3 linked regions of the Coturnix japonica genome follow. The protein of the gene in region 2 interacts with the protein of the main gene of each other region in a pairwise test. Links are inferred from orthologs where the notes say so. Each region holds a gene or a part of one and is shown on either strand. Other genes may lie near its edges.

Region 1 (7,348 bases), on a different chromosome or scaffold from region 2:
TGCAGCAATTCTTCTCTTTTTCTTGTTTGTTTGCTTTTAGTTTATTCACCAAGTTGCATCTTACCATTGTTTTTATTTTCTCTCAAATTCTTTTTTAGCTAAAATAATATATACGGTGGGATATTCTTATGTGAGGACTTACTCAGATTCTAAACCTAAGCTGTATGATGCTTTCCTGGCTGTATTTCCGCCTTCAAGAAGAGGTGTTAGTTCAGTCTTAAAGTAGTTGTTGATGGGTAGGCTGTGTAGGAATGTTTGAGTGGGTTTGTGTTCTACTTGCATCAGAGCTGGAAGCAGATTGCTTTTAATCCTTGGTGCTCAAAGAACGAGTGTGCTTAGTTGAGGCATGAGCCCCTATTGCATTAGGGTTATTTCTCTAACCAAGGATGATCCTGCACTTTGCAGTGTTTCATGGTAGTACTAGCTAAACTATTTCTTGTGTTTTACTGCATTAGTAAATATGTCTGGTGCTTAAAAAGGACAGGCAAATTTATGGCTGTAGCTTGAGTTCTGGGGAACAACTTATGGTGCAGAGATATATTTAAATCGGCATTTTTTTCACGATGAATTTGTTCTCTCATTGCACTCCCAAAATTAATTTGGGCTATATCACTGAAAGGACCCACCAGTCACCTATAAATTCTGCAATAGAGGTAGCTCTTGTGAGGCTGTCTTGTGAGAGACATCTACTGTCTTCCAGATGGCTAGAGGTCTTTTGTTAGAACCAGGCTGACAGAATATGCCTCAAGTAGAGCGGACTTGGAGAAGTGCGGTTTGTGTGTAAAAAATGCACATGGGCCTCAAAGTCTTATTCAACATTACAGTTACTTTTGTTTACAGTTCATTTAATATTGTGAATTCTGCTCTGTTAATACAATATAGCTATTTGGATTTGTTGTTCTTATTTGGAAATGCATCATGGGTTTATGTGTTCAGGCGTACAGTGAATCTGCCAGGGAGTAGTAGAATGTAAAATTCCTCTCATCTTAACTTGCATTTGTTCTAGTTTCTCAAAATTCAGGTAGGTTTGTCAGGGGAAAGAAAGGCTGCTTGTCAGTACCAGGTGTTGTTTAATGCACAAGCTAGTGTTCAAAGATTGTTGGCTTTAGCCTCTGTAAATTGCAGTGTTTTCCATGACTGAGTTCATTAACCCTGAGCAAGTCCCTTTACCATGTAAAGGCTATTCTGTGATCTTGATTTGCTGGGTAAACGTTAACTAGAGAAGCTGGAACACTAAATAAATGATTTTCTGCTTTTCACTGTGGCAAGTTGGTAAAAAGTGGGGTTTAGGGAAGACGCTGGGAAGAGTTTTTTAACTCCAGAAGAACAGACTTTGTAAAACTGAAACTGAGAGGGAAGGGACCTTTTTTTTTTTTCCTGTTAATGGTCATGATTAACTGAAATCTGCTGGAGGCCTGTCTCATTGACTTTGTTTTAATTTTTCTTCTTTTGCTTGCAGGTTAAAGTTTCATTTGACCTGGATGACATTCAGATAAAATACATTGATGAGGATAATGATGAGGTATAATGCTGCCCCTGTCCCCCTCTCCCCTCCCATCTCTGAAATACAACTGCTGTGAACCTTTATGCCTCTTATAGTCAGTCTTTCTGGAGCATATATTTTGCAGAGGTGGTGAGCTTTGTCCCTTTGAGAAAAAATGTAACTGATAGTCTCTTGGTTTCACTCTTAATGTAGCATTCCTAATTTCAAACAGAAGCTATTGCTTCTGTTTTTAACACCAGTATAACCCTACAGAAACAGTTAGTGTTTCTTTGTGTTCTGAGGAATGGGAAGTTCTGTTGAGGAATTTTTAGTTTTTTTAAATTATTATTTTATCAGAGTAAAGTACTTGTAACTGCTTGTGTCCGAAGCCACAATAAAGCCCTGTCTCTTCAATCTACGCTCATTCTTCTGAGATCCCCTGGCATTAGCCCATGTTTACTTCAGTGATCTGGTATACTCAAATCCCCTGCTTATTTTATGTGAATGCTATAATCTGCAAGCAGATTACTGACTCAGAAGGCAAATTAGTTACTTCCAGTTGTCCTTGTTGAGTAACTTCCTGTTTGTCATAACTTTGACCTCATTCTTTCTGCTTATCTGGAGTTTAGATTGGAATGTAGCTGTCAAACAGAACAGAGTTGCTGAGCAGTCTGAGCTCTACAGATAGATTTGCCGCTTGGCTAGATTGCAGAGATGAGGATTTAACAAACAAAAAACCAAAACAAAACAAAATTCCTAATGGGAAATGTCAGGACACTTCCAGAAACATTGCAGGGAAAGATTCTGTCCTTATTTTCCAGCCTTTATTTCTTTCCTTGTCAACATGTATGTATACTTGTTTAATGTGTGTGTCTGCTCAAGATCTCTTTCATTTGCTAATAGAGTAAATATTAGAATTATGTAATGCTGTAGCAATTAAATGACTCCTTGTATGAATAACTTCTTTATGCAAATTTTGATTTAAAAAAGAAAAAAGAGCACCTGTAGCAGATTGTGTTGCCTGGTTTGTGATCAAGAACACATAAGTGTTGCATTCTTGGTATTAACAGCAACTGGGTCCAACCTCTGTTTAATTGCGTAGGAAGCCTTGTGATAGCAACACTGGTTTACTTCTGCTGAGTGAGACCATGCTTATTCTGGGTGCCAGTGGAGCCAGGGGCCTTGCTGGTGGTGCAAACCTAATAAAGAACGTGATCTAGTCCAAAACGCTTCAGCATTGGTTAATAATTAAACATTGCAGCAATAACAAAAATCTGAAAGAATGATAGGTACCTAAGAAACTGAATAAAAGTACATTTACCTTGTAAGCACGTTGATTTCTAGAACTACAAAAATAATTAACAGGCTGTTACTCATTATTATTTCTCTTTACAGGTTTCTGTGAATAGCAAAGGTAAGCTGCTGTTTTATTGAACTAAAACCAGGCTTGTTGATAGACTTCAGCTGTTACTGTAGGGAGAAACAGCTGAGAAACCTTGCTTGTTGAAATTTCATACATGCTTGTGTGTCAAATTCTTCCCAGCAGAAGAAAATGTATGATACATTGTAACTGTTTGTTTGTTTGTTTATTTATTTATTTTTTATGAGTGAGTTAATGGAATGTTAACTCTAATAAAGGCTACATGCCTTTCCTTGGTGCCACATGTGCAGCAGCTACTTTAAAATAATTTATTGAAGGTGTGGAGGGAATTCCTAGAAGAAAGGGTTCTTAAATGCTGTATGCTAAATTTACGTGTATTTGATGTAGGAAACATTCACATGTTTCTCTTTTCTTTTCAGAGGAATATGAAGAAGCTCTGAAGGTAACTGGTCTCTGAATTTTTCAGTATATTCAGCTTTCTAATGAGGATTGTTGTAGCTGAAAAAATAGCGTTATCTAGCATGTGGAGCTCACATGCTATATATAGCATGTAGCTCAGTTTTCCTGCTTTGGATGATAGTTTGAATATTTTGCTACGCTTTAGTCCAGCCAGGCCGATTTTGACATGGTATTAATTATTTGAGTATATTGTGGTTCAGGGCTGTAAGCATACAGTGAACAATCACTGACTTCATCAAACATGCAGTAATGCCATGTTTGGAGGTACTCGGCTCTTACGAGATCCATTTAAAAATTTAGCTGTGCGCTTTGCAGTGTTATACTCTCTGGCAATAAAACTTCCTTTCATGTTAAGAGCTTAGTTACTTCATCAACAGGTTGTTGTTGGTTTTTTTTTTTTTTTTTTTCTAGACCAAATAAGGATTGCATTCCTTTGAATTGTACAGCACTAGTGCTTTCAGAACTTATGGTTTGCATTTCTAATCTGAAAATAATGCATGAAAACTTATTTCAGGTTCCTTGTGAGATTTTCTGTTGTTTACTGGCTTTATGTAAACAGCTTTATTGTAGATTTTAGAACTGCTGCAGAATATTTGCCTAATAAACTTATTTGTAGTGATCTTTCTAATAAGCATATTGGTTACAAGGCAGAATATAAGAAGCTTGGTCTGTCACTCAATTTTTCATGTCTTTTGCTGTTCCTTTCCTACCCCCCTCTTCCATCCTTGCCTCTCTGGTGCACTATAATGCTGTATTTTTACATGATTTTGTATTTTGGTTTTAAGTGGAATAAATATGGTAAATTGTGTTTATTTAGATTGCTGTTAAACAAGGAAATCAGCTACAGATGAATGTGTATGAAGAAAACTCTCCTCTGAAAGAAGCTTCATCTTGTTCTTGGCAACTGCATGAAAAAACAGTCACTGAGAAGTTGGCAGTTCTTAAAGATGAGCTGACAGCTCAGGTAGGATGAAGACCTGGATTATATTCTCATTAAAACAAAGAATTGGAACGTTATTCATTTCATAGCCTGATTATCCTTTTTTCCCATTTGTTAAAAAACTAAGCTCACAAATTGGTCCTTGTAGCTACCAGAATGTGGCCATTGAAGGTCACAACACTGTTTGAATATCTATAAGAGGATGTTTTGATGCTATATTTAGAGGTTCATTCTTTTTGACGATTATGAATATCTTGATAAATAAAACGGTCTCCTGAAGGTCTGATTTGCCTTCTAGCAATTTTTGTTTGACTCAGTTGCTTTGGCTTCGATGTTTAATTGTATGTGAATGCAAATAAGGCAGAAATCTTTCAGGAAAACTTTAGTGGCTTCCTTGTCTGACTTTCCTGCTGTTTTCTAAAGAGCCTGAAATCTTTATTTTAAAAAACACTTGAGGAGAGAGCTATTTCAAAGTGGTTGCTATGCTGAAAGTGTGGTTTGGTTGGCTGGTTTGTTTTACAGTTCCATGTATTTGATGTGTTTGACTTTTTTTTTCCCTCCCTTCACCAGCAAAAGTTAAATCACAGTAGAACAGGAAGAACAAATCAAAGCCCTCCAGAATGGTTTACTAGCTACTTGGAAACTGTAAGTGTATTTTCTTTTGCATAATCCCTTAAGAGTGTTAAAATTTGAGAGGTTTTGGGTGGAATTGATACCTGTGATGCCTTGTAAAATCAGTATCTTGAATCTCCATCTTAGTGATGATTTTTTTCCTCTTCAGTTCAGGGAGCAAGTGGTGAAGGAAACTGTTGAGCAACTAGAACAGAAGCTATACGAGAAGCTTATTCATCACAATCAGTCTTCAGACTTCTCTGAGAGCTCTATTACAGCAGCACCTCCTGGTTCAGAGACCCAAACAAAGAATGGTAATCAACGTGACTGGCTGATCTCCTGCTGCAACTGCCAGGATCGAATTGTTGGAGTTCGCTACCAGTGCAGGTAGAACATGATGAACGATGACCCCATAGAAAACTTAAGCATGTGAATGAGAGTTTGAGAAACCATCTTCTTATTTCTAGTCTGATGGGTGGTATAGGCTTCAGAACCTCTAGTATGTATCTCATAAAGAGCTTACTTTCTCTGCTGTTGCAAACAGTCTTTATCTGCATAAAAGAAAAATTAAGAATGTTTTGAAAAAAATTTCTTACAAGAATGGAAGACAATTTTCAGACTCCTATTATTCTCAAGCACTTCAAAACTTTTTCTAACATACAGTGTGCAGTAGTTAAGCTAACCAAGTACTTTCCTTGATAAGTTAACAAAAGCATGAAAATTATAGCTACCAGTCTGTCAGAACTAAAAGGAGAGTTGTGTTTTTTTTTCTGTTGTTTTGTGTTGTTTTATGGTCAGTGATTTTAAAGGATTAAATGCTTTTTTTTTTCTTTTTTTTTTTTTCTGAGGGTTTTTGTTTGTTTGTTTGTTTTTAAATGGAAAGATTAATTGTTATTCTTTCTTTTCTAGTGTATTAATTCTTTGTCTACCTCCTGGTAATGTTCTACCCTTTCTACTTTGCAGTCTCTGTCCAGCCTACAATATTTGTGAACAGTGTGAAGCAGGAGTGTATGGACACGATCCTAATCATATTTTGCTAAAGCTACGAAGGCCTACGCTATGTGTTGCTGAAAACTATGATGTTGCACAGTTTTCACCTTGCCTGCCCACTACTCTGGAGCAAGTTAGGTAAATGATGGCACTTGTTAGTACCTGGTAAGACTGTCCTGGCAGTAAAATAGAAAACCTGTCTTGCAGTTAGCGTTCTGCTTTTATGAATTCAGATTTATTCAAAATAGGAAATGGTACTCTGCAGAGAGTATTTAAAAATAGTTCTATACCTAGATTCCTGACTAAAGTCACTTTGTTACAGAGCTTTTAATAGCAAAATAGAAAAGATCATAGGTAGTAGTCTTTGAGAGCTTGCTTGTTTTTTGAGCATGGTCTGATCTGTCTTCTCTTTGACCAAGGCTATTCTAAATACCTTTGTCAGCAGCTATGTTCTTTGAGAATTGTCTGGTATCGAGTCTAGAAACAAGAGGTGTTACCTGAGGTGTTCTGAGACTGTATTGACTAAAGCTAAATTTTAATCAGATTAGTATGCTTAACAAAGTGATTCTCTCTGCAGGCTCCAGAAGCAGATAGACAAAAGATTTCTGAAGGCAGAAAAGCAGAGGTTACGAGCAGAGAAGAAACAGCGAAAGGCAGAGGTCCGGGAGCTCAAAAAGCAGCTAAAATTGCACAGGAAAATTCACCTGTGGAACTCTGTCCCTGTATTGGAAACTAGTGGCTCACCAACTCTGAAGTCAGAAAATCTCCAACACAGTACCATACCGTAAGGCTTGTTATTAGCCAATCAATTCTTATTTGCACTGTCTGGCTATCTGTGATGAGACCAAGTTCAAGTAATGAGGAAGGCTGTGAAGTTGTCTCTCATTCATAGTATTGTTTGTGTTTGAATCCTGTGAAAATTGTGTCTAAATAGATGATTATGTAGGTTGGCAAGGGAAGGAGAGTGCATAGGATTACATGTGTGTAATGATGGTGAACTGCTGGTGAACTGCTTCACCAATCCTCTCTTGGTGCACTAAACTATCAGTAGAGCTTTTTATTTATTTGCGTATTAATTTATTGCCTTTCAGGCAAATCTGTGGTACCTACTGAAAAAACAATGTTGCATGTAAGGCCAAATAAGATACCACTAAACTATAAGTAGTTGATTCAAAGTTGGAAAGATAGTGACTTTCTTCTGTAACAGTGTAGTAGCATTGACCAAAGTGTTTTAAAACTAAATTAAATATCAACTGAAGAGCAGTGAACCCTTCTTTTAAACCTCGATATTGTAATATTTATAGAGATTCTTCAAAATGAGCAAATATGTTTCCTTTTTAGTTAAGCTAAGCAAACTGCTGAGTGGTGTTTAGACTTGAGATGAAAACTGTACTAAAACATTACAGTTTGGAAACACATCTAGAGACAGGAAAAAAACACATTTAAGTATGTTATTCTGTTTTAGTCATAACAGCTGAGCAAC
Region 2 (7,973 bases):
AGTATGGCTAGAGGGTTTTAATTTCATTGGTGCTGAAAAGTAATAATTAATATTTGCAGTTTAGTACCTGGCAACTGTAGAACTTAGATGTAATTTTTGAAAATGTGAAATTCTGTCCTTAAGCTGCAGGGAAATATTTTAAAGAGATGGAATACTGTTTCATCAGATTTACCTCATACATAGAAATCGTCAAGTTCTATTTTTATAATTGTTCCTTAACTCTTTACTGGATATTGTCCAGACTAAATTATTATTATTATTATTACTATTATTATTTCTTTTTATTTCTTTTATTTTTAAAATGAGTAGTATTAGGCTTTCCCCATATTTATACTATGGGATCTGGGGAATGAAGACAGATCATTTGCTGGTGATGGGCCATCTTTTCCAGCCCCATATGCTTGTTTGAGGCCTCTGCTTTGGGAAGTGTACAGACTGTGTTGCTTAGCAACCACCCTCCCTTTGTGTAGAGGGTGCTCTGCGAATGCATGAGCATCAGTAATGTGACCACAGAAGGCCCTGATGTGATACAGTCAGCCAAACTGTATACAGAGATATTTTTCAGATGATCAATCCACTTCAATTCAGTGCATGCAAAATCTCACCTGGCTTCTTTTGATGTTCTGTCTCTGAGCTGAAAGTATTTGAGATTATTGTATTTAGTTTTATTGGAACACTGAGGAAATATTAGCTCAGCAGTGAATTCTTAGTCCATGTTTTCTGAAAAGCATTTTGCAAACTTCACGAAGTTTTTCTAAAGAATCCATGTTGTTTTTCAGAACAGAATAAAATGCAAAGAAAGTGTATCCACAATGAGGGAGAGTCACTATTATATCAGAAAAAATAAAAATAAAAAAAAAAATATCCTGAAATAGAAATTTAATTGATTAAAAAGCACAGAGGGCTCAATGATGATTTTTTTTTTTTTCCCCTCTACTCACTTTTCAGAACTGTACATGAAGAAACAGTGAGTCAGCAGTATTTATGCTTGTGCTACTTACATGAGTGTATTCTATTCAGTTGCTGATGATGGGTCTAAGACGTACACTAGATGGTGCTTGCACAACACAGGGAACGAAAAGTACGTCTGTCTCAGGATGTGTCAGCAACTCAGTACTCTGCCTCTTCTCAAGTATTTTCACTATGTTCCATTATGTGGAATCCTATAATTAAATATAGAAGCTTCATGAATGTAGTAAAAGACTGGTTATCTGCTATTACACTCACCAAGAAATAAAATCATTCACTTACGTATTTGTTTATATACTTACATATACCTATGCATACACTCAGTCTTATCAGTTCCAAATGCCTAAATACAGAAGAGAGATACATTTTCTATCATGTCTTGAAAAGCTACATTTGCACAGAACTGAGTAGAAGGGAAGGTCTCTGTACAATATTTTTGTACAACATCTATCACCACAGGATTCTTACTCAGTGTGTGATATCTAAGATGAAATACAAGGAGTTGGGGGGGGAGGGGGGGAGGGGAAGTACTAATTTTAAAAAGAACATGTATCACATTTCAGCAAATTTGTCACAGACAGTCAAAATAACATAAAAGAAAAAAAAATCTGGATGCTGAAGGAAGGTCTTTCTGTGAACTATACATATATACTTATGAAAAGTATGGAATAGTAAAAGAAAATCTGAAGAAAGAATTTCTACATTATCATGAGCTTCAATATTTGTTTCTATTTAGACTAAGGATATCCCAGATTTCATTAATGAAAGTAATTATTATTATTATCATCATTGTCATCACAAATTATTTACAATCATACAAGTGTGGTCATGTGATGCCCTAGCTCAGCTAGCACTGGTAACCAAGTAAGCTATTTTTTGTACATTGTTTTTAAAGTCCAGTCATAATAACAGATTCTAATAGTTTAATATTCCAGTTAAAGATATTTTAGTCCTTTTTTTCATATGTGTTTTGATTATGTCAGCCATATCAAGAGGCTTGAATACCTGGAAAGGCGTCTAAAACTAAATGAAATTGTTTTCAGTGGATGTGCATTTTGAGAAAGGAATTTTGGTGAAAAAACTGTATTGACAAACCACACCTAAAAGCAAAGTATCAGGAATGGTGTGGTGGGCAGGACTAAGGAAGTCCTCCTGCCCCTGTACTCAGTATTAACGACACCTCTCCTCAAGTACTGTGTTCATTTTTTGGCACCTCAGTATGGAAAGGACATGGAGGTGCTGGAACAGGTCCAAAGAAGGGCAACAAGACTTGTGAAGGCCCTGTGAGGAGCAACTGAAAGAATTGGGTCTGTTTAGTCTGGGGAAAAGGAGGCTGAGGGGAGACTGTATTACTCTCTTCCAATACCTGAAAGGTGCTTACAGCGAGTGTGGGATTGGACTCTTCTCACTGGTGACAGGTGGTGGGATGAGGGGAAATGGCTTTAAGTTGTGCCAGGTAAGTTTAGGTTGGATATTAGGAAAAACTTCTTCTTTACAAAAAGTGTTGTTAAGCACTGGAATAGGCTCCCCAGGGAGGGGTTTGAATCACCATTCCTGGATGTGTTTAAAAAACCATTTGGATGTGGTGCTCAGGGACATGATTTTGCAGAGGGTTGTTAGTTAGGGTAGTATGGTTAGGTTGCAGTTGTACTTGATGATCTTTAGGAACTCAATCTTATTGATTCTATGATTCTATGTTTTTTAAATGGCTTAAGATATAAGGAAGTCTAAGGTAGTGGATACAGCTACACATGAAAGAGATGGGTAGTTACATGTAACAAGACAAACTGCTGAAAGTACAAAAGAAGGAGAAAAGCACAGTTAATATTAGCCAATATATTTTCAGTTCTCAGGACTAGGCAAGTGCTTTGGTAATAGCTTGTTTTAATTCCTTAGAATTCCCTTTTTATCATTACAAATGCCAAGGAGCTTCACTGGCTTCAATGTAAAACAAGAACATTCTTTGAATTGGGCCAAGACATACCAGCACCTATGCAGCCCATTGTGGAGCACAGTGATTCCAGACTATCTCAGCATTTGAATTTTGTTATTTAGATGAAAAACAACACCTGCTTCCCATTTATGCAGCAAAATTAACTGTTGGGATTCAAAGTTGGCTGATACAGTTCATTTTGAATCCTGAAGTCAGATGCCAGATGCTGGCTTTTGCAGCTCTGTTGCACTACGATTTGTTCTGGGTTACTATAGTGGCTCTAATTTTGGGCAGCCCTGCTTTTCTTTTCTGTTTCTCTCAATTCCTCTCATCTGCCTGCCACTTACCCCTATCTCTCTAAATGTTCTTAGTCCAGACTTTGGGACTGATATGCAAATTGTGTAAAATCCAGATGTGTCTCAATAGATTCAGCTCTTTTCCAGGCAAGCAGGAATATCAAGAGGAGAAAAAAAAAAAAAAAAAACACATTTGCAGAGTGAAGGTTCAGGGTATTGTGTAGAGCTAGGTGATAAGGAAAATCAAGGACAGGGGATAGGGAGAAGGCACACTGGGAGTTATTATGATTCAAAAAACAGTAAGTGTATCATATCAGTCATTGCAGAAATATGTTCTTTTCTGTTGGAGCCAAAGCATCTGGATCATCTGAGCTGGCATCTCCTTCACATTATTGTAGCCCATCCAGCTGATAGATAAATAAGCAGATAAATAGATCTTACCCCAGCAAAACAGACACACCCGTATATTACACAAGGTGCACTGAATCACAGCCATTAACATTCCTCTTTCTGTGTCCAGCAGAGGGTGGGTGCTCATATCCTGCAGCAGGGCAGTTAAAATAATCGATGAGTGTGTGTTCAATCCCCAGAATGATAGAAGGGGGGGGAGGAGGGAAAGAGGGGGGAGAAGGAAAGAAGGGAGGGAGGGTGTGGTGGCCATGGAGGGGGGGCAAGGGGAGGTGGAGGGGGGGGGAAGGGAGGTGGGAAAGGTGCTGATTTCAGCCCTGTAGCGTCAGGATTGCGTCAATTTGGGTTTCAACCACGTCTTCAGTCTCGGTGCGGAGCTACTCAGAAGAACCAAAACAGGAAGGGGGTTGGAAATCAGTGTGCAGAGGGGAGGACCGACGCTCCCCCTCCCCCCACTCCTTCAGCCCGATCACAGCCTCCTTCTTCACCTTCCCCACTGCTTGTGTCTCCGGGTTTTGTTTTTGATAGTTTTTCTTTCTTTCTTTCCTTCTTTCCTTCTTTCTTCCTTTCTCTCTCTCTCTCTCTCTCTCTCTTTTATTTATTTATTTATTTATTTATTGTTATTCCTCCGTGGAAAAGCCTGCTGTCCGGTCTCTGCGAGAGAGTGACGAGCCGAGAAACAGCAGAGCATCACATTCGGCACTTTGAGCAGGGGCCGCTCAGCACCGGAGAGGGTGACTCTGCTAGCCCGGACAGCCTCGTCGGCCAGAGGCTCCAGGACCACGGACAGCGGCTCCAGTACCGCGGACAGAGAGCACCACCAACATGGCTCCGATCTCGGCCAGCCACCAGCAGTTCGGTAAGTGCGTCCCGGCCACAACTCCCTGCCACGGGGATGAGAAGAGCATGCAGGCAGCCACTACTGAGCCACCCCGGTGCCTCCCAGACTGCTGGGAGGAACAGAATTTCTTCTAGTTCTCTCTGATACCAGAAGTTGTGTGAATTTGCTTTCTCCCCTTTTTCTTTCTGTTCTTTTTCTCCTAGCCATTCCCTCTGGTATATCACTAGGAGAGAAGGAGGGGTTTGACTAGGTGCATTTTTGTATGGATGAGTTGGGAGTTGTTTTATCTGTCTTGGTTAAAATATCATGGCTTCGGAGTAAAATGCTGTAAACACATCTTGTGCCACAGACAAAATCTTCATCAAAGCCACTCTTGGGATAAGAATCCTTTTATCTTGTCATAGAGAAAGATTTGTAGACTGTTAGCAAAAGTGAAATATAGTTGGTTAAAGAACACTATTGAAAAGATGGGAATACAGTAATCCAGTGTCTCTGGCTAAATGTTCCTATCTGTCTATTTTTTGAGAATACCAATGATGACAATGAACTTTTCAGTCATGCCATTTCTATACACTTACTGTAGCATGAATAACTGTGATGCAGAAAGTTTTAGAGACATTGAAAATACAAAATGAATAGCATTACTCATAAAAGCTGTAAATTGTAATGTTTCGGAACTCTGCTTTACAAATATTGACTCAAGCCTAGATGTTATTTGCTTTACCAGTGGTTAAATTCAAGGATCATTCCACTGACTTAAGTGAAGTGACTCCAAATTTACATCACATAACTGAAATAAAATTTTCTCCCAGGATCAATAGGTGTTGTTTCCTATTAGTACACTGCCTTGAATGTTACCTGATTTACATTATTACAACTTGTTGTAATGTAATTTTTTGTGAATATAAAAAATTTTAGATATCTTCTTCTTTCCTACCTACCCCACCCATCTGATATTTCTAACAACACTCATGACATCATCCTTATCTAATTACTTATTTAAAGAAGTTAATTAATATTTCAGATACTAAATTGATTTTACCACTTCTTCCAGTAGCTGTAGAATAAAAACACAGGGTGGTTTCCATTACTATAAAAATTTTAAATGCCAACTCATGAAAAAGTATTAAAAATGTATAGATCACTCTTGAAAGCTATTTAAAGTATTCTCATTATCTCTTAATTACTCCTTGCTTTCTACCTTTGTTTCATTTACTTTTAAATTTTTTCAGCTAAGATAATACTTGAAACTCAGACAAAAATGCTTGGCTTAGAACAACTCCACTTTTTAAAATTCTGCATATAATTTTTAGTCGCTTATTGACTTCTCACAGTTAAACATATATTGATACAGCTTGTGGGCAGAAGTGATATGTTTATTGTCAGAAGAAACTATTAACAAGGCCTTGCACTTTCTGTACTGGAACATTTTGTCCTGCTTTTTTGATAATGTTATGTTTTTTGTTTTAGTTTTGTTTTTTTGTTTTTTACTCAAAGTCAAAGTTATGGTGGTGGTACATCTATTAGAGCTTTTACCCAGATAAAGCATGTTTAGTAATGTGTACAATAGGATAGTTTTGCTTTCCTTGTTCAGAATGATCTGCTAATTATTTGCTAGAGGAACTGTAACACAATTGGCTTTATGCATAAACAATGTCATTCTATTAATATTCTACTAGTCTACTAGTGCAGAGAATAAAGATTAAGCTCTTATCGTTACACTGTGGGAGGTTTAAACTCACTTAGTAATGTTACTTATGGGCAAAATTGGATTTCCAATTAGTTGTGCTCATTTGCCCCTTCAATCCATGCTTGCAAATGGCTAATGATACTCCATATGCAACTGAAGTGTCCACATGGCAGTTGAAATTGAAACATTTGGATAGTTTTTTCTTCATTCAGATTTCAAATATAGGACTGTTATCAAGGTAGATGAAAATTACATTTTAATGTTTCTTTTATATACTCAAAAGAAGTGATCCATCATGTATGCTCTCTATAGCTTTGATTCATAGAGTCCCAGAATCAAAGCTTAGAGGGTATCAGTGATGCACTTAAGTTTCATAGCTTTTGACTCACATGCAACTGCCAAATGTTATATTCATCTGCAGAGGAAACTTGGCATGTAACTATTCTAAATTTTCTTAATAGACTTTCTCCTAGAATGTATTGAAAATCCTCTTGAAACTCCTCGGTGTTACAACTACCTGAAAAATTTGATTTCTTTCAACAGATACCTTCAGACAATTATGGGATCAGTCCATAAAGCTGAGTTGAGTACAAAAAGCATTTTAGGAAACTATGTGAAAAGCAGATGATAAACCTATAAGGAACAGATATATCAGAATTCCATCTAAAAAATACAGTACAATAAAATCAAAGATAAAACCTGATCTAGTTTTTCTCACTGACATATAAACTCCAAAATTACACAAAAAATGATGAAATAGCTGATAAATTATTCATCATAATTACTGTTGCAGTGGGAACAGTATTTTCCTTCCAGACATCCTTTGTATGGAAAAATACTAACAGCATGAGATTAAACATTCACGCCTGCAGGTGGCGAACAATGCATGCAATGAAATGCACTTTCAGTATGTCAACTGCTCCTGTTACCATCTCGTATCAGTTTTCCTGCCTAAATTATCATTTTATTAAATATCACAGAGTAGAAGAAATTGCTGCTTATTTGCTTGTTACTGTTTATTTGATTTGCAGATGAAATTCCTACAGTTGTTGGGATCTTTAGTGCATTTGGCCTTGTCTTCTCTGTCTCCCTTTTTGCTTGGATCTGCTGTCAGCGTAAATCATCCAAATCCAATAAGACTCCTCCGTATAAGTTTGTCCATGTTCTGAAGGGAGTTGATATTTATCCTGAGAATCTCAACAGTAAGAAGAAGTTTGGAGTAGATGATAAAAATGAAGAAAAGAACAAATCAGAAATGTCAAAGAATTCTCTTCATCTTGACCTGGAGAAGAGAGATCTAAATGGCAACTTCCCAAAAACAACCTCAAAAATGCAGAGTTCTCCAGACTCTGAAAATTCATCTTCAAAGCACTTTTCAGAAAAGAAGAAAGATTCGGTTTCCCCTGATAGTTTAAAATCCACTACATCCCTGTCATCTGAAGAAAAACAAGACAAACTAGGCACTCTCTTTCTCTCTTTAGAGTACAACTTTGAGAAAAAGGCATTTGTAGTGAGCATCAAGGAAGCACGTGGGCTGCCAGCAATGGATGAACAGTCAATGACTTCTGATCCCTACATCAAAATGACAATCCTTCCTGAGAAAAAGCACAAGGTGAAAACCAGAGTGCTGAGGAAAACCTTAGATCCTGCTTTTGATGAGACCTTCACGTTTTATGGGATCCCTTATAGTCAAATTCAAGACTTAACGCTTCACTTTATGATCTTGAGCTTTGACAGGTTTTCCAGAGATGATGTCATTGGAGAAGTCCTCATTCCTCTTGCAGGAATTGAATTGTCGGAAGGAAGGATGCTAATGGACAGAGAGATCATCAAAAG
Region 3 (6,658 bases), on a different chromosome or scaffold from region 2:
CCGTGTAGAAATACCTGGTGTTTCACCTCTGCTGGGGGTGGAGGAAGGCTGCGAGTGCTTATCTCCCTCTTTGACTTTCTTTTATTTCCCCTTTAATAGCTTGGCTCTCTCCAGTTTAAATAAACACACAGAAGCTGTTGTCTACTACAAAAAAGCTCTGGAGCTCGATCCAGACAATGACACGTATAAATCCAACCTTAAAATAGCTGAACAGAAAATGAAGGAGACTCCCAGTCCGGTAAGTGCTGAAATCAATGCTTAAGTGTGGATGAGATTGAATGGAGATTTCTTTACTGTGCTGCTGCAGGTGCTGGCAGGAGCTCGGTTGTGTTTAGAATACAGCTCTTGCATGCAGATAGATGGAGGGGGGATGATTAATGAGTGCTGCTGTGACCCCCCCCAATAAAAAACCCAGAGAGAGCAACTTGTGTGCTGTGCTGGCACGCAGTCACCTTGGGCTGGGAAGTGAGGCTGATTAGAAGGAGCTTTTAGAAACACTATTTTAGTATCTTAAAGGGGATTTCTGCCTTTTAGAGCCTCCTGTAGCACGGAGGTGGGCAGGTGGGTGTGTTTGACTTGGCAGGTGTGGTGGGTTGGGGCAGGACGTCACTAGCACGGCTGGGCTGGTGCAACAATGCGTGTGATGCCATCATTGCTATCAGCATGTGCCCTTTGCCTCCCTGAGTGAGCTGATCCCCATCCTGCCCTTTGTCATGCTTTAAAGACCAGCTTCTGATAACACTGGGAGCATCGAGGTACCATTCATTGCAGCGTGCTGTTTATTGCATCAGAAAGTGAGAGGATGTCACCACCCACGTGTGGTGTCTTTATTCTTACAGACCGGAGGTCCCGGAGGATTCGATTTAGCTGGCTTGCTGAACAACCCTGGCTTCATGAGTATGGTAAATGCGGGCACAGATCACAGCCAGGCTGTACTCAGTCTGTGCATTTATCCATTAAAGATGAAACGTTTTGGGACGTGGAGTGGGGTGTTCCTGTGTCTCATGAGCAGCTTTGCTGTCGTTTCTTGGTGTTGCTGCGAGGAAGCTGTGCTTGTATTTTGCACCCAAGTCAAATAAAGAGCCAGTGACTTATTCACAGGCTGCTCCTTGTGACGTGCTGGGTGTGGAAAGGGTGCCTGTTCTGCATTACCAGCCTTGTCTTGTGTGTTGCACTGTGCTTCTCTTTGCTATTTTTGTCCTATTGATCTGTTTCCAAGTATTTCTGCCTTCGCTTTGTTCCTAGTTGAATGGCACAACATCTGCATATCTACCCAGGCATTTCTGACTAAATAGGGTGTCATTTTTTTTTCTTCCCCTCTTTAAATAGGCATCTAACCTAATGAACAATCCACAAGTACAACAGCTGTAAGTTTGATCCCGCGTTCTCTTTCCTCTTTGAGTCACTCCTTTGAGGCTGTGGTGGGAGGGGGGTGGGTGCTGGAACCAGAAATGTGGAAGGCAGCCCTTAAAGCAGCCGTGAACCAGTGTGTGTTTTGAGTACTCTGGGCTGTGTTGAAGAGGAACCTCAATAGGAGGCATCTCACCCTCTGTTAGAATATCTCTATTCCTTGTAATGCAGAGTTATGGGGATCAATTCACATCTGTCCGAAAGCTGAGACAATATAAAACCATGAAGTGAATAAAGCCTCTCCAGTCTGTCCCTTCAGAGCTCAGGCAGTCAGTGGAGCCCTTCTGGAGCTCAGCCTTACTGTATGAGGCAGCCCTGCTACAAAGCCAAACATCTGCCACCATTTCCATTTGCTTCTGCCTGCTCCTTCCACTCCTGTTGTCAGCTGAGGTTCTGTGCCAGGTGCAGCCTGAAGACTTGAAGGGGCTTTGCAGACCCTGCACTGATAGCCATGAGTCAATGTTGAGGCTGTCAGTAAACCTCATTTGGTGCAGAGCTATCAAATACCTTGTGTGAGGAGGAGCAGTGTAATAATTAAGCATAACACCAAGGAGAGAGGAATATTTGTCAGTACAGTAAGAAGCTGTTATAAATACTTCTGCATATCATGCAGCTTAATGATACAATTGCTCTTCTTTTCCCCTTTTAGTATCAAACAAAAAAGATTTGGGTGTGTTTTTCTACTCTGAGCAATGACTCTTCTTTCCACAGCATGTCTGGGATGATTTCTGGTGGCCATAACCCCATGGGAGCAGCAGGCACCAGCCCCTCCACAAATGACCTTGCCAGCCTCATACAAGCGTGAGTAAAGAGCTGGCTCTTCTCCATGACCTTAATCACTAAACAGACTTACAGATATTGTGATCAAAAGTAAAAACTTCAGTTAAGGGTTGAGTAAAGCTGCACTGTAACGTGAACTGCTTGTTAGAGCAGGGTTCTGGCAGTCACCTGGGATGAATTCCATAGCCCTATGGGTGTGTGAGGACACAGTAACTGTAGCTTGTTCTCCTGCAGGGGCCAGCAGTTTGCTCAGCAGATGCAACAACAGAATCCTGAACTAATAGAACAGCTACGAAGCCAGATCAGGAGTCGAACTCCAAGTGCCAGCAATGAAGATCAGCAGGAATGAGCATTACAGGTGAGGCTGCGGGGAGGATCTCAGTGTTGTGCTGCAATATCTGCCTTGTGCCTTCACTTAGCAGCTCAGTTTCTCTTCCCCTCCATACAGACTGAGCTCTCTGCTGCTGCTGTGCCTTGGGGAGACGCAAGGCTCAGCTCTGCAGAGCTTTGAATAGACCTCCCTCATGCTTTGTGACTGGCAGATGAATGGTGTTAGCAGTTAAAGGGGGCTGCTGATGTTATAGGTCTCTGATGTTGAATTGGGGTTGCTGTCTTTACTCATAAACTCAATTCACAAATGTCTTCTCTTCTTGTCTCTGCAGTGCAGTCCGTGGGATTCACCTTCTTTGCTTTACAAACTGGAAGCCATGTGCGTGGTGCCATTTGAATTGGAAGTGTCCAAGAAGGGGAGAGAGGGGAGGGGGGGGGATAAAACAAACCCACCCCCAACACAAAATCCTTCCTATGACCTGCATGTTCAAGACCAGCTTCACACTTTTCTTCCCCCAGTCTTCGTCCTGCTCCTCCCCCTCCACCTTTCCCATTAAGTTTTCTTCTGGAAGATCCAGCAAACACCAAACCAGCACCAAACAGTCTTTCTAAAGAGACTCAGTCATTCACGACGCTGTTACATTTCTATGGTCTTTGCTACGTTGGAGGGCATTTTTTAACCCCTTTTTGAAGAACGATGAGCTCTTCACTACAGGACACCTTTGCTTTCCTGCCTACACTTCAAAGAAGTGTTGGAGTCCCACCTCCATCCTGCTTCCCCTCCATCTTCCTGCCACTTACAAGACAGTGACATTGGAGACCACTGGATCTTCTTACCTCCAAGGACAGGCTTTCTCTTGATGTTACTCATTCAGGTCTGTAGCAACGTTGTGTTGTTCACACACATAGGATCCGATGGCTGCCTCTCTAAGGTTCCCATCATTATATTGGATGGGTTGGGATTGATGAGGTAGAACGAGCGTTTCCAGTTACACCTCTTGGGGTCCATCCCCAACCTTGACAAGAACTCATTTAGTGTTAATAGTAATTAGTGTTGGAATGAGCCAATCTGTGAACTAGTCGGGTGGACATTAAGGAAAGATATCATGTTTTCGGTGTTTAAAAGGTTTCTCTTTTGCTTTTTGATGCATGTAAGTAACCAACCCAGTTGATAATAGGAGTAAAGAGAAGGAAGGATGGAATAAGAAGCAGAAGGAATCCAAATGCTCCTTGGATATAGAAGGAAATACATGGAAATAGAGAATGAAAGGGCTGCTGGTTCAATGTGGGAGGATGGAGGAGATCCTTGTTGCTGGATACCTGCAGCTTCCCACCTCCCACAGCATCCTGGATGGGGATGGAGGCTTTGGGATCAGCTATAGGGCTGTATTAAAGGGTTTTCTAATGTATGGGGCCCTATTGCTGGGCATGGGGGCAGCTGGATGGCTGAGGATTGAATGGGAGATATAGGAGACCTGGTGGTACGAATGAGCAGGTATGTTGAATATCAAGGGAAACCAACAGATCTGTACATGCTCCGTAAATTTAATCTGTGGTTCATGTAAACTCGTGAAGAATAAACTATTTGGACACTCTTTGCTATCTATCCCCTTCTTATCACAGTGATTGAACTATCCGGCTCCATCAGCACAGCGGACAGCGCTGCCAACGGAGCAACCCGGAACCTTTCATCGCGCTGCGTGTTTCCGGCGGACTCCATTCTGCTGCACACCCCCCTAACGGGGAGTGGGCGGGCTGATTGATGTCTACCTCAGCCAATGGGAGCTTGTGATTATCATCTCAGCCAATAGGAGTGCGCCGCACGCCTGAGGGGGCGGGCGCTGCGCGGGGGCAGGCAGGACGGGGCGCAGGAGGGGAACGGAGAGTGAGTGGGGGGCGTTGGGGATGGGGGGGGATGGGAGGGAACGGGGGTCGGTCCTGAAGGGGTCGGAGCCGGCCCTGAGGGGGATGGGACGGTCCGAGGGGGGTCTCTATTGAGGTAGCAGCGAGTTGAGGGCTGTTAGTGGGGAACTGGGGGTGAGGGGGGGCTGTGGTGGGGATTGAGGCCTGTGGGGGGTTATGGGATATGTGGGGGGTTATGGGATATATGGGGGGATTTGGGGTCAATGTTGTGGGATTTGGGGTCAATGTTGTGGGATTTGGGGTCAATGTTGTGGGATACGAGGTCTCTGTGGGGGGATGTGGGGTCTGTGGGGGGTTATGGGGCCTCTGTGGTGGGATATGGGCCCTCTGTGGGGGGATATGGGCTCTGTGGGGGGTTATGGGGCCTCTGTGGGGGGTTATGGGGCCTCTGTGGTGGGATATGGGGCCTCTATGGGGGGATATGGGGTCTCTATGGGGGGATATGGGGTCTCTATGGTGGGATATGGGGCCTCTGTGGGGGGATATGGGGCCTCTGTGGGGGTATATGGGGCCTATGGGGGGATATGGGGTCTCTGTGGTGGGATTTGGGGTCTCTGTAGTGGCATATGGGGCCTCTGTAGGGGGTTACGAGGTCTCTGTGGGGGGATATGGGGCCTCTGTAGGGGGTTACGAGGTCTCTGTGGGGGGATATGGGGTCTGTGGTGGGTTATGGGGCCTCTGTGGTGGGTTATGGGGCCTCTGTGGTGGGTTATGGGGCCTCTGTGGTGGGTTATGGGGCCTCTGTGGGGGGTTATGGGGCCTCTGTGGTGGGATATGGGGCCTCTGTGCTGGGTTATGGGACCTGTAGTGGGACATGGGGCCTGTGGGGCTGCCCTACAGTTGAGGGGGGAGGCTCAAGCTGTGGCCCTGTGCACGGGGCCGTGGGACACCCCATTCCGCCCCCACCTCCCCAGGGTTGTCCATACAGACCCCATCACAGCCCCCTGCTCCCCCTCCTGGGCTCCCTGTGTGCTCTCTGCAGGCTTTGGGGGCATTCAGAGCAGGGACTGGAGGCCCGGCCTGTCTCCCCTGCCCACTAAAGCCACGCAGTGCCTATCCCACATTCATTCTTTGTTACAGAGGTTTCTGTGCTGCCAATATATCCAGGTGTCAGAGGCATCAACTGCTGCGGGCTGAGAAGAGCAGGAGGTATTTCCAGCCCTTGTTCACTAAGCTGCTTTCCTCAGAGGTCACAGGGCACATAGGGCTGCTCCAGTGCTGCCATCAGCATTGAGGCTCTTTGCTGGGGCTGGGTTAAATACAAATGTCTCAGATGCTGGAACACCCTCAGTGCTCTTTGCTCCTATCCCAGGAGCTGCCTGGTACCTTCACACCCAGAGCAACGAGCTCTTCTCTGTACAATCCCAATGCGTTGTCACTAACATTGGATTCAAGACTTGAGAAGCCCGGTGTGACAACATGCCATCGCTATGCAAGGTTATCCCCTTGTTCTGTTGATGCTGAAACCGCAGTGTGTGCATTGCAAAGGCAGCCTGGCTTGTTGGCTGTGTCAGCAATGTACTGACAGGCACTGGAGGGCCCAGAGGCAGCATCTCTGCCCATCAGCAGCAGTGACAGCCTCAGCCCTCCTGTCAGGATGTGCCCAGCTGGGTTCATAGGGTGAGTCCATCAGTGTCATCTGCTGCTGCTGATGGACATCACTTCGCACAGACACCCAGCTGAGAGCCAGCCCTGCTGCAGCCAAACTGCTGTGACCTCTCTTTGCTCCTGTGTAGGCAGAGCTTGAACTTGAAAAGAAGGTTTTAAACTCCCTCATCACTCAGAGCATCCATCAATCCCAACTTACTTGATCACACAATCACCATGTACAGCAGCCTGCTACACAGGAGGGGTTGTAGTGATTCATCCCATCAGCCCTCAGGGGAGGTTTTACCCACAGGAATCTTTGGTTTTGAAATTAATCTGATGGTCCAATAGGCAGCTATCCAATTATTTTACCTATTTTACCCCCCAAAGCCCCACGTGGGTGTTGAAATGGGATCTTGAACTCCATTCCTCAATGAAACCGAGAGCTGCCAGCTCAAGCCTTTACTCATTCCTTGTGGTTAAAAGCAATTACTCGATCCTTTGAGCCCAGGTGGATCTTATTGCAAGACTGAGTGGTTTTAAACCTCCACCAACTGAGGCTGTGCCTGTTCTGTGCAGCCCAGTTTGGCTCTCACAAGGTTTTGGAGTTCCTGCTTTTGCTGCAGTT

What was found.
Region 1: the proteins of SYT4 (region 2) and NBR1 interact in binary tests that used the Homo sapiens proteins (3 or more experiments, as listed by UniProt). The two-hybrid records come from large-scale screens. The link is inferred for Coturnix japonica from reciprocal best matches to the Homo sapiens genes SYT4 and NBR1.
Region 3: the proteins of SYT4 (region 2) and SGTA interact in binary tests that used the Homo sapiens proteins (3 or more experiments, as listed by UniProt). The two-hybrid records come from large-scale screens. The link is inferred for Coturnix japonica from reciprocal best matches to the Homo sapiens genes SYT4 and SGTA.

The regions. Positions count from the first base shown.
Region 1 is NC_029542.1:4,753,669-4,761,016, forward strand, and holds part of NBR1 (next to BRCA1 gene 1 protein), read left to right. Parts: intron 1-1,459; coding exon 1,460-1,522; intron 1,523-2,878; coding exon 2,879-2,897; intron 2,898-3,283; coding exon 3,284-3,306; intron 3,307-4,140; coding exon 4,141-4,287; intron 4,288-4,833; coding exon 4,834-4,908; intron 4,909-5,044; coding exon 5,045-5,262; intron 5,263-5,838; coding exon 5,839-6,003; intron 6,004-6,442; coding exon 6,443-6,649; intron 6,650-7,348. UniProt on the Homo sapiens protein: Ubiquitin-binding autophagy adapter that participates in different processes including host defense or intracellular homeostasis.
Region 2 is NC_029547.1:3,043,163-3,051,135, forward strand, and holds the start of SYT4 (synaptotagmin-4), read left to right. Parts: upstream 1-3,922; 5' UTR 3,923-4,431; coding exon 4,432-4,465; intron 4,466-7,168; coding exon 7,169-7,973. UniProt on the Homo sapiens protein: Synaptotagmin family member which does not bind Ca(2+). Involved in neuronal dense core vesicles (DCVs) mobility through its interaction with KIF1A.
Region 3 is NC_029543.1:2,301,414-2,308,071, forward strand, and holds the end of SGTA (small glutamine-rich tetratricopeptide repeat-containing protein alpha), read left to right. Parts: intron 1-99; coding exon 100-238; intron 239-839; coding exon 840-902; intron 903-1,329; coding exon 1,330-1,367; intron 1,368-2,121; coding exon 2,122-2,211; intron 2,212-2,424; coding exon 2,425-2,539; 3' UTR 2,540-2,548; intron 2,549-2,852; 3' UTR 2,853-4,126; downstream 4,127-6,658. UniProt on the Homo sapiens protein: Co-chaperone that binds misfolded and hydrophobic patches-containing client proteins in the cytosol. Mediates their targeting to the endoplasmic reticulum but also regulates their sorting to the proteasome when targeting fails.